Diceros bicornis minor: one gene and its partner. The protein of the gene in region 2 purifies or fractionates together with the protein of the main gene of each other region. This does not show direct contact. Links are inferred from orthologs where the notes say so. Each region holds a gene or a part of one and is shown on either strand. Other genes may lie near its edges.

Region 1 (7,900 bases), on a different chromosome or scaffold from region 2:
TGTTCCACGGCACAGGTGCCCAGGCGCCCAGGCCCTGCACAGCCAATCCTTCCAGGATTTTCCAAAAGAGCCGGAAGCCTGGATTTTTACATGGTAGCCCCCAGTCACTTCAGAGTTGATTTTAACAAAGAAAGAACACACTGCGGCTCGGACATCACTGGGATGCCCGGGGGGAGGCGGCCCGGGCCCACCCCGAACTCACCAGCAGCACGTGCCGGATGCCCAGCTCAGCTGTCCAGTCCCTCTTGAGCACGTTGACGCAGATCTCACCGTTGGCGCCCACGTTGGGGTGGAAGATCTTGGTCAAGAAGTAGCCCTTGGGTGGGGAGGCAGGAAAGTCCTTCCCCAGCAGGAGTTTCATGCGGAAGAGGCCTCCAGCGTATGGGGTACCCTCTGGAAAGCAGAGAGGGTGGATTGAGTCAGGAGGTCCAGGACTCCTAGGTATCCTGCAAAACCCCAAAGCCCGGTCTATGAGGCAAGTGCCCTGCTGCCTCCTCCATCAGACTGGTGGATTCTTTTTTTTTTTTTTTTTTGGTGAGGAAGACGGTCCCTATGCCAATCTTCCTCTATTTTGTATGTGGGATACTGCCACAGCATGGTTTGATGAGCAGTGCGTAGGTCCGCGCCCAGGATCTGAACCTGCAAACCCCAGGCCACGGAAGCAGAGCGCTACGCCACGGGGATGGCTCCCTGGGGGATTCTTGAGAGTAGGACAGGGCTAGGCTCCCAGGGGACTGCAGGAACACCCCACCACCATCACAGAGTTAACCCCCTGACTTGTGTCACCACCAAGCCCTGTTCTCCACCCCTGGATGCCTCTTCTCTCCCACATGAAGGCCCCAGTTGCGTCCCCTTCCCAAGAGGCACAGATACTCGCACCCACTTATCTTCCCGGCAAAACATCTACCTGGAAGCCTCGTGGGCAAATGAGGGGACAGTTCTGTCAACTCCATGGTCTTCCCTGCCACAGTAAGCAGTGCTCTCATTCACCCACTTGCTCAGGTCAAGGTACTGTGGAGCCGTTCCAGACCCATGGCTGTCCCTCATGCCCCAGGCCCCACATCCAACCCATCAGTAGCCTGGGCAGCCGACCTCCACGGCCCCTCCTGAATCTGAGCCCACCTCCAAGTTCAGCCGAACCAGATGCCAGCAGTGGTGGACGGCTTCCACACCAGCCTCCAGCTTCCACCCTCCCTTCACCCCACTGAAGTTAAAGGAACTCCAAAGCGACCTATGACACCTGCTGTAAACCTACCAACGGCTCCCTTCGCAAACTCCTTGGAGAGAGACCTACAAGCGCACAAATACCTGCTTCCTAAAGCCTTCACCAGTCTTTTTATCTTTCTGCTCGTACTGCACCTGCCAAGGGCCTGTCAGGATCCCCACCGCCCCACCCCATCAGGGCGTAAATCACCATAACTGTCACCATCTCAGGAAGCCTTCCCTGACCCACCCCACCCCCGTGCCTGACCCCACTCCAGACTAGGCCCTTCTTGTTACAACTTGGCTTACTTTGTAGAAATTCAATGAATAGCAAAAACATAGTGCATGTGGAACAACACACTAAATCTCTGCATGATTAAATGCTCTCCAGTCTAATATTTGATTGTCATCTCTCCGCAGGCTGCATCTGGCTTGTTTGCTATGTCCCCGACGCCAACAGCAAGACGGAGTCTGAGACAGTGTGGCCCATCCTCCAAGCCTTTGCTGACACTGTTCCCATCCAGCACCCTCTTCCCACTCCCATTTAATTCCTACCTGAGGGAACGTGTAAATGACAGCCTCCCCCCAAACCCAGGTAAGGCCCCCTTCATATGATTTCTGGGCAACCAGGATTCTCTCACATTTACAGGAAAAGTAGACACAATTACTTGTCATTTGTAGTGTCCTGCAGTGCAGACTCAAGCACCACGGGAGTAAGAGGTGCGCTGTCCTGTCCACCACTGCGTCCCCAGCCCCTGGCAGAGTCCGGCTTATAATGGGGGCTTCCTCTTCTTGCTCTAAGGATGACACGGAATCTAGGAAGCGCACCTCTTCCTGTTTGGTTCCCACACTCACCAGGGCCCTCGATGGTGACCTGCAGGTCCGTGAGGTCCTCCTCGTTGGGAAAGACCTTGATGCCATCAGGCGGGTCAGCTGTCAGCGTCGTCACCTCCTTGTACACCAAGCGGATGATGTGGGGGGGCAGGTTCTCCACGTTGGAGTTCTGGGCGCAGGAGAGAAGGGAGTGAGCGGCTAGCAGAGCCCAGGCCTCTGGCAGGATCCAGGATGCGGTGGCCGCCCTAGTCTTGACTCTGCAGTCTCAGGCTGTCAATCATGCCTGTGTTCCCAGACCCCCCACTCAGGACGCTTCAGGTGGCCCTGCCAGGCTGATCTCCCACCAGAAATGGGGGCACATCTGAGGGAGCTTGCAGATAGCTCCACCTTCCTAGAAGCCCCCAAAGCCCGCTCGTAGCACCGCATGGGCCACCGATGATTCTGGGTATACAGACGCCTGGCGTGGTCCCCTTCCCCACCTAACCTTGACAAAAAAATCCTGGAAACCCCAGCTGGGGCCTGGAGATGGCGGCGGAGCGTCCTTACTCCCGGAAAACCCACAGGCGGGCCACAAAGCCCGGAGCCCTCCCCGGAGCTCAGCCGGGCCTTCCCCTCCCGCACCGCCTCCAGGAAGGCCCTTGGGTCCATCCCCAGCCCAGGACCCCCATGCGGGCCCTCCAAACCCCCAGGCCGCCCGCGCGAGGCTCCTGAGACCCCGCCTCCTTCTCCAGGAGCGCCCCCGACGGCCCCTCCCGGGCCTGGCTGCCGCGCTCACCATGACTGCGGCCGGTCGGGGGCGGGTCCCCCCGGCCCCCTTCCTGTGCTCTCCGGGCCGCCGGCCGGGGCGGGGGGCCCAACTACTGCCGCTGCGGCCCTAGCGAGGCCCCGGCGGCCCTGCTCGGCTCCCCGCTGCCTCCGACGCCCGCAGGGCACCGCGCTCAGAAATCTACCCGCCCCAGGCGCTCGGCCGCACTGAGCCGGCCGCGCGCCCACCGACACCTCTTTATAGCCACCCGCAGGCCACGCCCCGCTGCGGCCCCAGAGCGCCGCGCCTCGACCCGTGACGTCAGCGCGCAAGGTCCTGGGCTATCGACGCGCTCGCTCCCTTTCTGCAAGCTATGGGCAGAAGCGGGAAAAGTTGGGGAGGGGGCGCGCGGCGGGTCGGCCAATGGGGGCACGCGGGGGTCGGAAAGGGGGCCCCGGAGAATGGAGGGGCTGAGAAGGGGCAGTAGAGTGGAAAGCGATGGGAGAGGTGACGCGACCGCTGATTGGGCTGTTTGAATGAGACGCCGCCACGGCCCGGTACGCGCGCGCGCCCTGATGCTCAGGAAGTCGCGCACGCGACTAACGGTCGGCCTGGGAGCCTGGGCGGGGCGAGAGGAGGCGGGACTTGGGGGTTTTAAACGGATGATGGAAGGCACTCTGGCCAATAGGGATGCGCAATCGTGGAATGGCGTAACGAGACTCGCACGGGCCAATCCTTGCCAGAGAAGGGTGACAGAGGGCGGGAGCAATGGAGAGCGACCAATGGGGGCCCTGCTTAGCGCGGGCCAAGCAGATCGCAGCCAACGAAATTCGTTGGTTTTTGTATATGCAAATAAGGTATACACTGCCTCCCGCGCCCCCTCCTCAGCCGGTGGCGGGGAGGTGGGCGCTGAGAATCGATCTAAATTTTCTACGAGGCGCCATTTTGTGCTGGGTATGACCTGTGACCTGCGTCCTGGATTGCAGAAGTTCAAAGACCAGTCAGCACGGCCTCGAAGGCGTGGACCCCTGGCCTTCAAATGTGTGACCTCTGACCCCGGCCAGGCCTCAGTCACGACGCCGGGCCTCAGTTTCCTCCTGTGGGAAGTGGGGGCTGGGATCCCTCGTGATGACCGAGAAGGAAGAAGGAACAGTCCCCAGGCCTTCGTCAGGGCACGGCCCTGCCTGTGATTGACCCGCGGCCTCCGGCTGGCCAGGCCCTCACTGGCACTCACTTTCCCTGTCTGGGAAGTGGACACACAGTGGTCTCAGGCTTCAGTTAGTAAACTGGGCCCGGCTTTTCCCCTAAACGAGCCGGAGCTCCCTGGGCCGGCCCTGACTAGATGCCAAGAGAGGAGGCGGACCGGAAGCGGAAGTGGCCTCATGGGGTCCTCTGGGCCCCTCTCAGCTCAGCCAAGTCCGGTCCAGCTTGGCCACAGTGTCCTGAAAAGACCGGTGGCTACCAGCGTCCCCTCCTGGGGCCTCAGCTGCTGGAACAGGAGGCGGGAAGGTGTAAAAGGTGCCCACAGCCTTGCAGTCTAGTAATAACGAGAGTTTGTGGAGCATTGGCGGTGCGGGCAGCTCTCACACCAGATCATGAACCTTAGCCCGCTGGGGGCAGATGATTCCAGCCCATTTAAGGGACAAGAACACTGAAGGAAGAGGCGGGTCTGGTGGCTTGCCCAGGGTCCCCCCACCGGGACAAGGCAGACGTGGTAGTCAAGCTCTATCTCCAAACCCACCCGACAGACATAAAGATGATGATAATGATGGTTATTATTTATTAGGTGCCTGCTGTGTGCCAGGCACTGTTCTAGTTCCTTTGCGTGCTTGATCTCGCTTAGTCCTTGCAACAGCCCTGTCAGGTGGATGTTGTTAGGATTCCCCTCTGGACACCTGTGTTCATTCAATGACATTTTTGGGTTTTGAGCACCTACCATGTGGCAGGAGGATGCTGTGGGGATACGGCAAAGAGTAAAAGGGACAAAACTGCTCTCATGGAGCTTACATCCTTTGAGGGAGCCAGACAGTCAGGAAGTAAGTATATACTGTCATGTCGGCCAGTGATAAAGACGTCGAAGAACAGTAAATTAGGGCCAGAGAGAGAGAAAGGGAGCAGTGGTGGCTGCTGTTGGACCTTGGCTGGGCAGGGAAGGCCTCTCTGGGAAGGCTCATGTCTATGGGAAAAACATTCTGAGAAAAGTGAACAGCAGGTGCAAAGGCCTGGGGAGGGGATGGTGCTTGGTGTGTGTCAGGCACCACCTGGAAGCCAGCAAGGCCAGGTCAGAGTGAGCCGGGCATGTGGAAGGCACTGAGGTCAGAGAGGGAAGGGGGAGCGGTGGTTATATCACACACCCGGGCCATGATGAGCAGTGTGTTCTTTTCTTCCATCAAGGGGGAGCCGCTGAAGGCTTTGAACAGGACGTGACTCCATCTGACTTAGGGCAGGAACAGAGTGGCCCGTGAGGAGGTGACTGCAGCCATCCGGGTGGGGATGATGGCGGCTCCGAGCAGGTTGGTGGCGGTGAGGGGGGGAGAGTGATGGGGTTTGGTGAAATCAACATGACCTGGTGTGAGGGAGAGGGAGGGGATCGCCTACTCACTGAACAGTCGCCTAAAAATTGGCGTTGGCACACTTTTTGAGTAAAAGTTTCCAACTTTGGGGGCCACCAGTCTCTGTCCCAGCCGGCTCAGTTCTGCTGCTCTGCCCCAGGGGCAGCCTGCATGATATTTGCCGAGGAAGGGGGGTGGCTGTGTTCCAGTCAGACTTCGTCTACAAAAACAGGCAGTGGCCGGAGATGGCCCTCAGGGAGGCCGTTTACTGACCCCTGGAATCCTGACATGCCCCACTCTTGCTAGAAACCTTTCAGGAGCCCTCCTCCCCGCTACATTTTGAGTAAACCCCACATTCCCATGAGGTCCATAAGCACACTCTCCTTGAGCCCCCCTGGCCTTTCCATCTGTCCCGTATAAGCCAAGCTCTGTCTCACCTGAGGACGTGCGAGCGGGAGTCCCCTGTGCCTGGAGAGCTTCCTACCCCTTCTTCTGTCCTCCTCACTGGCTGGGCTCACCTTAAATTGTTGCATCTCAGGGCGGCTCCCTTGCCTCCACTCCCTCGCTTGTTCCCTTGACCATCTTTGATCTTCCTGGTCCATCAGAATTTGTGATTACTTGCTTGCTTACGTGTCTCTGTCTCCCCTGACTAGATCAGCCCCAGGAGAGCGGGGACTCTGTCCTCGGCCCCAGCAGGGTGCCTGACAGATCGAGGATGTTCATTCATTCAGTAAGTGTTTCTTGACCACCTACTATGTGTTAGGCACCATTCTGGCGCTTGGGGTACGTCAGAGAACAGACAGAGGTCTTTGCCCTTGTGGGGCTTACTGTGGTGGGGGAAGGCAGACATAAAAACAAAATATAAAAAATAAATAAAATACATGATATGTCAGAAGGGACCGAGTGCTGTGGAAAAGAGAAAAGCAGAGCAGGGGAGGGGCTCGGGTGCCAGGTTGTGCTGATGCCATGGTGAATTTTAATCCGGGTGGCCAGGGTAGGCCTCTCCGAGCAGATGTCATTTGAACCCAAGTTTGAAGGAAGGGAGTAAATGATCTATGTGCTTATCAGAGGAAGAGCATTCCTGGCAGTGGGAAGAGCTGGAGCAGGGCCTAGCACACTCGAGGAACTGCAGGGAGGCCACTGTGGCTGGAACAGAAGGAGAGAGGGGGCGGGTATGGGGGAGTGAGGTCAGAGAGGTGTGTGTGGTCTGGGGTTGGGGAGGGGGTATCACGCAGGGCCTTCAAGGTGCTGCTCAAGATCAACATCAATACGATGCTCAACATCATTAGCCATCAGGAAAATGCAAATCAAAACCACGATGAGATCCCACTTCACGCTACCAGGGTGGCTATAATCAAAGATAATAACAAGCATTGGGGAGGGTGTGGAGAAGTCAGAATCCTCACACAAAGCCCATGGGAATGAAAAATGGTGCAGCTGCTTTGGAAACCAGTCTGGCAGTTCCCCAAATGGTTAAACATAGAGTTACCATAAGACCCAGCAATCCCACTCCGAGGTATGTACCCCAGAGAAATGAAAATGTATGTCCACACACAGACTCATACACAAATGTTCATAACAGCGTTATTCACAGTAGCCCAAATGTTCATCAACTGACGAGTGGGTAAACCATGGAATATTATATGGCCATAGCAAGGAATGAAGTACTTTTACATGTTACAACATGGATGAACCTCAAAAACATGATGCTGAGGGAAAGAGGCCACAAAGGACCACATACTGTATGATTCCATTTATATGAAATGTCCAGAAGAGGCGTATCCATGTGGATAGAAAGTAGATTAGTAATTGCCTAGGGCTGGGGGGTGGAGTGGGGGATAGCGAGGTGATTGCTAATGAGTACGGATTTTCTTTTGGGGGTGATGAAAATACTCTAAAATTGTGATGATGGTGCACAACTCTCTGAATATACTAAAAACCATTGAATCGTACACTTTACATTGGTGAGTTGTATGTACGGTATGTGAGTTACATCTCAATAAAGCCGTTATGGGAGGAACTGAATGAAGGCCAGAGATGGGGGGACGGGGGAGAGAGAGAAGAATGTTCCGAGCTGAGCTGGAGCGGTGGGCAGAGCCCTAGGGAGCCAGTGAGGACATTGGTCAGGAGGTGTGAGTGGATTTGGTACTCACATTGAGACTCTAGCTCGGGGCTGCTGGGTAGAGACTGGCCTGGAGGCCCTGAGCAGCAAATCCAGCACCCAGTTGGTGTGGCTTGGGCGAGGGTGGTGGCCATGGCTGTTGGAGAGAAGGGGACGGATCTGAGAACTCATCAGGAGGTGGCCTAGCAATGGGCCTTCTGAGTCAGTTTAGGAGAGTGGAATTGGCGGGGCACGGGCAGTGGGGAGGAGTGGGGACGGAGTGGGGGGCTTCCTTTGCTAAATACTGATGATCTAGGAACTTCTTTTGGTACGATGAACCCAAATTGTCCTTTCAGCTTGAATTCTAGCATCAGAAATTAATCTTCATTTCTCCTGTTCATTTGTATTAAATTATGAAAGAAACATGTGCTTGGAGGGAAATTCATGTGGTTGCGGAAGTGCTAA
Region 2 (7,583 bases):
TCTAAAATGATATTATGGGCCGGCTCCGTGGCTTAGCAGTTAAGTGTGCGCGCTCCGCTACTGGTGGCCCGGGGTTCGGATCCCGGGCACACACCGACGCACTGCTTCTCCGGCCATGCTGAGGCCGCGTCCCACATGCAGCAACTAGAAGGATGTGCAGCTGTGACATAGAACTATCTACTGGGGCTTTGGGGGGAAAAAAATAAATAAATAAATCTTTAAAAAAATATATGATTATTAATAAATAAATAAATAAATAAATAAATAAATAAATAAATAAAATGATATTATGTGAATAGTAACCACTTACCACACTGCTCATTATGGTGATTTTTATAAGGCTTGTTTACAACTTCATCCAACACTTCTAACTGTGAAGTCCTACCCCAGGAATAATTGATAAATCTATCAAAATATCACTGGTTTTTTAATCAGTTTCATCAGGTGAATTTTATAAACCTCCAAATTAGCACTGATTGAAGTCATTTAGGGTAGTGTGTCCTCTCCAAACAGTTATATTAAAAATAAAATAATCGACAGAATTTCTGCCTCATAATAGGAGAGATTTTTGAAATGACTCAAATATTAACTAACACTTTTCTATGAGAGATAATTTGGAGGAGGAGCTTATTCTTACCTTATCTCAGACTGGCTATTCCACACTAAAACGTTAAAGAAAATAAAAAGGCAGAGATCAGTTGCTCATTTTTTCTCTCAACTTTTTCCTATGCCTAGTAATACCATGAACCATGAGGCATCCCAAGAAAGAAAACAACTTTCCAACTTACTCTCATCCCTTTACAAATACATGCAATCACTTATTATAGTTAAAAAGAAAAACATATACAGTATCTTTATCTGTCCTAGTTTTCTTTTCTTTTTGTTTGGTCAGGGAAATTGGCCATCAGCTAACATCTGTGCCCATCTTCCTCTATTTCATATATGCGACGCCGCCACAGTATGGCTTGATGAGCGGTGCATAGGTCTGCAGCAGGGATCCGAACCTGCGAACCTCAGGCCACCAAAGCAGAGCGCCTGAACATAACCACTACGCCACAGGGCTAGTCCCCTATTTTTATTTTCTTCCTCACTAATTCTTTCCCATTTTCAGCACTATCTCTGGTCAGTTGATCTTTATCATCCTAGCCAAAATTGCTTGTTCTTCCCTCTGCTCCAGATCTCTTATTTCTTCTTATACTACCTCGTATCTTAAAACTTCTTACCACTGTTCCCAAATCTAATGGATAAAGGTAGTGTGAAAAAAAAAGATAAATTTGACATTTGAGCCTTAAAAATGCCTAAGTGCATTACTGCTAAGAGTACTTTAAGGAAAAGAGGAAACCTGGCAGGCACTATCTAGGAATAGGCTATGTATTTCTTTTCTTCTCCAAGCTCCTATACAAGTTGAAATTATTATTAAATAGTGGTTATAAGCTAGCAATGAAACTAGTTTATCATTTTAGAAGTCTTTTGGGGCCAAAGAAGGCAAACGTATCATTAATTATTAAGACAGAATTACAAGAATATGAAACAGAAATTAAACAACTTGAGTGATCTGCTTATCTATGTAAGAAGGTACAGACAGCAACTTCTAATTTCATGTTAAGCCTCAAAAAAAAAAAATCTTCAGAGACTCTTTACTAGTAAGAGGAATTTGGATGGAAAGAAATAGCTTTGGAAGCACTGGTACAACTTACAAACAGGTAAATTTCCTAAAATAGAATCCCACATTACATTAAATCAAACACTAATAGCTGCTACATGTAAAAAGCCGGGGAAGCAGCCAACTAGCAGAAACTGGTATTTCATCCTGTGAAGAAAAATTAAGGAAATATGGAAGAAGTGATGTACTAAAATATTTACTATTTGATATCACAGGCCTATTAAGGGTATATGAAATAATTTCTAAAATCAGTTTGCTTTATAACTTCAAAATAGAGAAAATCCATGAGTCAATGACAGCAGTTGACAGAGCTCAACTCTTCTAATCAAGTTCAAGATCCTAGGGTGGGTTGACAGTCTCCCAGACTTGGTTCATCACCAAGGGACAAAAGATTCAGTTTCTTCAGACGACAAGGGGAAAAATGACTTGGCACTGCCTCACACACTTCCTGGTGTGGTGAGGACAGTGAAGTGGATGGTAAAACCACTATTTGTCTTTCATTTCCTGAACGCCTTACAAACATGCACAATAAAACACTCCTGATCCCCACCACAGGTCATGGAAAAACCCAGATTTGCCGTTTCCACCCCCTCCCCTTGGATAGGTGCTTGCACCTCAGCACTGGGCCTTGGAGTTCTCTTCTCAGATCATTGTCCAGTGGGAAATTCACTGAGCGAGAAAAGCAACGTGGGCTTGCAAGTCTGTTACCAAAATAGAAATTAGTATTAAAAATACCGATCTACCCTCCCTCCGCCCTCTCACATAAAACAAAAACAAAACCAACCCCCTCCACCCCGCCAACTTGCCCCACCGTTATGAAGCCCGTACAAGCTCTGATCAAATGTGCTTCCCCACCATCCTTTAGGCACGAGAGCACCTGGGGCGAGTTTTCGGCCCCTCATCCCTCACCCCGGCCGGGGCCGGGCCCCTAGACTGACAGGAGGGCCCAGGTGGACGTTGGCTCGGAGGGGAAAGAAGCTATTATCGCCGAACCCCGCTCACACGAGGGGTAGAAGGGACGTAGGACCAGAGGTAACACGGCGTAGGCTACGGGCAAGGCCTCCGGACTGACGAGAGGATAGGCAGGACCCGGCATGGGGGGAGGCGGGAGAGGCAGCCGGGCCTAGGCCGCACCAGGCCGCGGAGTGGCCATACGCTGCTTCCCGACCGAGGCTGCGAGCCAAGCCTCAGAGAACGGGGTTCTCATTACCTGGACGGGTTCCTGCAGCACCGTCATCCTTGAGGCTCAGGCCCACTTTCTGCAGTGCCTCAGGCCCCCCCCGTAGCGGCTCGGCCCGGCCAGCCCCGGCTCATTTAAACTCACCAGCGACCGTTACCGGGGAATGGGGGAGGCCGAGAGACTGCCGAGTACCTCCGAGCGGGACACGGAAATACCCGAAGGGGAGAGATCCGCGCGGGCGCCAGACGGAAAAGCCCGAAGGAGGCCGGAAACACCCGAGGTGGGTCGACGGAGGAGGAGACCGTTGCCGGAAATTGTCGAGGATTACCGGAGACTACCGAGTCCTGTCCAGAGCGTAGGTTTCTTTTCTCGGCCCGCCTTCACTCACGCACGCCACGCCCAATAGGCCACCCTAGGCTGGGCCACGCCCAATCGGCTACCAGCAGGCTGGGCGTGGCGTGCCGGAGCGGGTGGGGAGCGTTACGTGGCTGTGCTGCCGTCTTGATTTCTGCTCAGCTTTTCTTGATTAATTGGTGCGCGGTAGATTAAGCAAAGGGTAAAACATGAGAGTTTGGGGCTGACTTTAATTAATCAAGAAGTATTTGTCTGTTGAGCTTAGGTCATTCATCCATTCCAGAAGTACCTATTCATGCCTCAAAGGGATATAGGAAATTTGGAAGGATTGCCACCCTCCAAAAATTTATTTGGTATTTGTCCTTAAAGAGATTACGGTCGATTTAAGGGAAAAGCAATGTAACTAAGAGTGCTATATTATGTGGTGCCCACTATAAGTGATGTAAAAATTCAGAGGGGAAGAAAATTAGTTGGGATTAAGATGAGGAAAGAAAAAGGGACACAAACTGGGCTTTGAAGGATGGGTAGAATTAGAAAAGAAAGGAGAGGGTAAGTGAAGGAAAGCAGAAATGAGATCAGTCTGATAAGAGTTAAGGTGTTAACTGGAAATAATTAGTTAGATGACCAGATCATGGAAAATCTCGGAAGGCAGGCAGAAATTTTTATAGGAGAGGCTTTGTGGTGTATTGAGAAATTCAGAGGCTTGATTTTGAATTTTCTCTCTTGCACTAACTAGTTTTAGATCCTTAGGCAAGTCACAACCTCTCTGAACTTCTATTTCCCTAGTATGAAAAAAGTGATGAAGAGAATTAAATGCATTAACCCTTGTGGTTGTGTCTAACACACATAGTAGGCTCTTTCAAATTTCTTTCCTGCTCCCTCTCCCCCAAAAATATGTGAACCAGGGAGCTATTAAAATTTTGTTTTTCTGTAGATGGGGAAAACAGTTTTGAAGGTTAATTTTCTGATCAGGACATCTCTAGGCTAGACGTTGGGTGTATATTCCATTGTGTGGCAATTTCCCTTTCTCATTCTCACATTTTATGCAGATAAAATCAGTTTGGAATGGGTCACTCCCTTCCTTTGGATGATGTGGAGGGAGGTCTTTTTTTTTTTTTTTTTTTTAATGCTAGTTGACAGAGCTACTATATTCTTCACCACCAGTCATCTCTAGTTACTGCTTATGCACTTGTAGCCCCATAAAGCGTAGGTGCTAAGGTGATTCTCTGCTGCCCTGTTCTTTTAGCAGAATTATGCTGGATGAATTGGAGTGGGAATAGTCTTCTACAATGACTGATATGGTAGCCACTGACTGTTTAAAGTTTAGTTAAAATCAAGTGAAATTAAAAATGAAGTTCTGGGGGTCGGCCTGGTGGTGTAGTGGTTAAGTTTGCGCACTCTGCTTTGGCGGCCTGGGGTTCATGGGTTTGGATCCCTGGCATGGACCTACACACTGCTCATCAAGCCACACTGTGGCAGTGTCCCACATACAAAATAGAGGAAGATGGGCACAGATGTTAGCTCAGGGACAATCTTCCTCAAGCAAAAAGAGGAAGATTGGCAACAGATGTTAGCTCAGGGCCAATCTTCCTCACCAAAAAAAAAAAAAAGTGAAGTTCTTCAGGAGCCCTGTCCATTCCAAAGACTCAGTAGACATATGTAGCTAATGACTTCCATAATGGATAGCACAGATACAGAATATTACCATCATTGGCTTTACTGGGGATGGAAGATCCAAGACGGCTTCACTCAGATGTTTTGGGCCTTGGTGCTACCTATTGGCTGAGCCCCTCGGTTCTCCTCCACGTGACCTCTCTCTCAGCCTTGGCCTCTCATCAATCGGTAGTCTAGCCCCAGCTTCTTGACTTGGTGGCTGGCAACCAAGCAGGCCAACACAAAAGCTGTGAGGTCCCTTAAGGCCTAGGCCTATAAGTCAAACTCCATCACTTCTTGTTGGTTCAAGTCAGATACAATGCCAGCTTGGATTCAGTGGGAGGAGAAATAGACTCCACCTCTAGATGGGAGGCTAGCAAAGTGATGCTGCACAAGGCATGTGCTGATGGGAAGGAGTGACTGCTGGGAAACTACCGGGTATGAGATGAGAGAATTTGGTAGTGGGAATGGGAAGAAAGCGATGGGTAAGAGATATTACTCTTAAAATTTGATGCTTTTAATTGAACACAACACTCCAGATTTATTCTAATTAATTCAGAATGCAGTAGGACTACTGCTTTTATTATCTGAGCACTTCTATTAAGTACACTAAAGTTTTACTTGCATTTTTTAGCAGTCACATGACACTGTTTGCTCATGCTAAGCTTGTGGTCTGCCGACCCAAGTCTTATATTTGCACAATGGATTCTTGTAAACTTAAATGTAGGAATTTACAACACGGGATACACAGAGATGATATTTTTTGTATGGAAATGTGTATCTGGAGTCAGCATTTAAAGAGTCTGTGGTGCTTGACATCTGACTTGTAAGCTTGGAATTTGCCTAAAGCCTTTTTTTTTTACCTGCTGAAAAAAGGCATCTCTTTTCTGACTGTTGTTCGCTGGGCTGATACATCTGTTGTGATTTTCTGCTCCTCCGCAGCAAGGCCACATTGTTTGAAGTTGTGCTTTAATGGGATCTTTTAGAGCATTTTTACTTCCTTCTCTGTTCCTGATTGACATACTTAAGCTCAACTCACCATCCAACAACCACTTGGGTACCCTGCTGTCATTCATTATCCACATATGTTTAGCTGGCGAGTGGAGTTAGGTTAGAGTAAGCATTATTCCAAACATGGTAAATTATCTCTTCTCCTTAGCCTGCCTCTTGTTCTGTTTCATGTTCAGTCAGATTTGGAGGCCAGCATTAGGGAACTACTCAAGAAGCTAGACATGGTATCAGTGCCCAGATGCAGGTCCCACTGAAACATAGCCCAGGAGAAGCTTACTCTTCTGAATTCCTTCAGTCCTCCTTGTCTGTATCCTTCTTTTGTCCCTGTTGCATGCTGCCTTTTATTCTTCTTTTGTTACTTGACCTTGAGACTTTTTTTCTCCTCTTTTTTTTTTTTGGTTCTCCGTCTTGGTCAAATCATCCCCTTCCTTTGGCTTCTCTGATCACACGGTCTCCTGGTTTTCCTCCTACTGCTCTGTTCTTTATCAGTTTCCTTTGCAGCCCCTCTAATGTTAGAACGCTTCAGGGATCTGTTGTAGGTCTTCTTCTGATCCTACACATTCTTCCCAGGAACACCCTTCCATTCTTGTGGCCTCAGTTTTTCATCCACAAATTGTTCCAAAATCTGTTTCTGCAGCCAGACTGCTTCTTAGAACTCCAGACCCAAGTGCCTAGCTGTGAACTGGATGTCTCTATCTGCGTGTCTCACAGGTGCTTTGTTCAGAATGGAGCTCCTCATTCCTCATACTTGAAATATTTCCTGTCCAAGTTTAAGGCATTGTCATCTTCTCCATTGCCCAACCAGAAACCACTCTCTTTCTTTAACATCTAGTCACAAAGCCCTACTAAGTTTACCTCCTAAATATACCTTCATGTCTCTTCTTGCCTCTAGTCTTACCTACCTCCAAAAGCAAGTCCGATCATGTGAGGACTCCTCTGCCTAAATATGCCCCCTCAACTCAGGATTTCCCACCGTTCTTAGGATATAGTCCAAACCCTTTAACTTGCCTTACAAGACCCTCTAAGGTCTAGTCCCTGCCTCCTTGTTTAGCCTTCTGTCATCTATCTCCCTCTTATACTCTACATTCCAGCAAAAGGGATCAGAATATGTCACTTTGGCATAAGGATTATTTTGAGCTGAAAGCAATTAAGAAGCAGCAAACATAGAAAGAGCTCTTTGCCCTCCCCCTATCTGCCTAAAAGCAGTACATGAATTTCCCTTTGTGAAGGTGTTTCCTCTCCCCTCTCCTGTACCAGGAGGAGGAAAACAAACATTATCACGAGACAGAGAGTTGGCACTGAGTTGGGTCTGCACAAACAAACTGTACTAAAATAACCCTTATCTCCCATTAGTTTCCCCATATGTTTACCTTTCCACAATTTACCACCCCTAGAAGTCCAAACCCTTTTTCCTTTGTCCTGTCACTTCTCCACAAATTTATTGCCATTTGCTAAGATAGTATGTAACCCCCAAATCTAACCACCTCTTTAGTTACTTATCGTTGAATTCTCCTATGTGTATGTGTTGCAGGTGTAAATAAACTCTTGTTTTTTAAATTCTGTTAATCTGTCTTTGATCAGTTTCATTTGCAAGGCCCCGGATACTGAACCTAAGAGGGTAGTGGGAAAAGTTCTTTTCCATCCCCTACACCAGCTCCATGGAACTTCTTGACCCACTTTCTTGACTCAGAGGCTTCACAGGTACTGGTCTCTCTGTCCAGA

The links.
Region 1: the proteins of CDC27 (region 2) and UBE2S purify together in Homo sapiens (affinity purification with western blotting; 4 studies listed by BioGRID, with this or other methods). This does not show direct contact. The link is inferred for Diceros bicornis minor from reciprocal best matches to the Homo sapiens genes CDC27 and UBE2S.

What each region holds. Positions count from the first base shown.
Region 1 is NC_080773.1:33,396,844-33,404,743, forward strand, and holds the start of UBE2S (ubiquitin-conjugating enzyme E2 S), read right to left. Parts: upstream 3,005-7,900; 5' UTR 2,816-3,004; coding exon 2,813-2,815; intron 2,207-2,812; coding exon 2,059-2,206; intron 394-2,058; coding exon 203-393; intron 1-202. UniProt on the Homo sapiens protein: Accepts ubiquitin from the E1 complex and catalyzes its covalent attachment to other proteins. Catalyzes 'Lys-11'-linked polyubiquitination.
Region 2 is NC_080757.1:44,865,219-44,872,801, forward strand, and holds the start of CDC27 (cell division cycle protein 27 homolog), read right to left. Parts: upstream 3,011-7,583; 5' UTR 2,901-3,010; coding exon 2,874-2,900; exon of another isoform or gene 2,562-2,873; intron 1-2,561. UniProt on the Homo sapiens protein: Component of the anaphase promoting complex/cyclosome (APC/C), a cell cycle-regulated E3 ubiquitin ligase that controls progression through mitosis and the G1 phase of the cell cycle.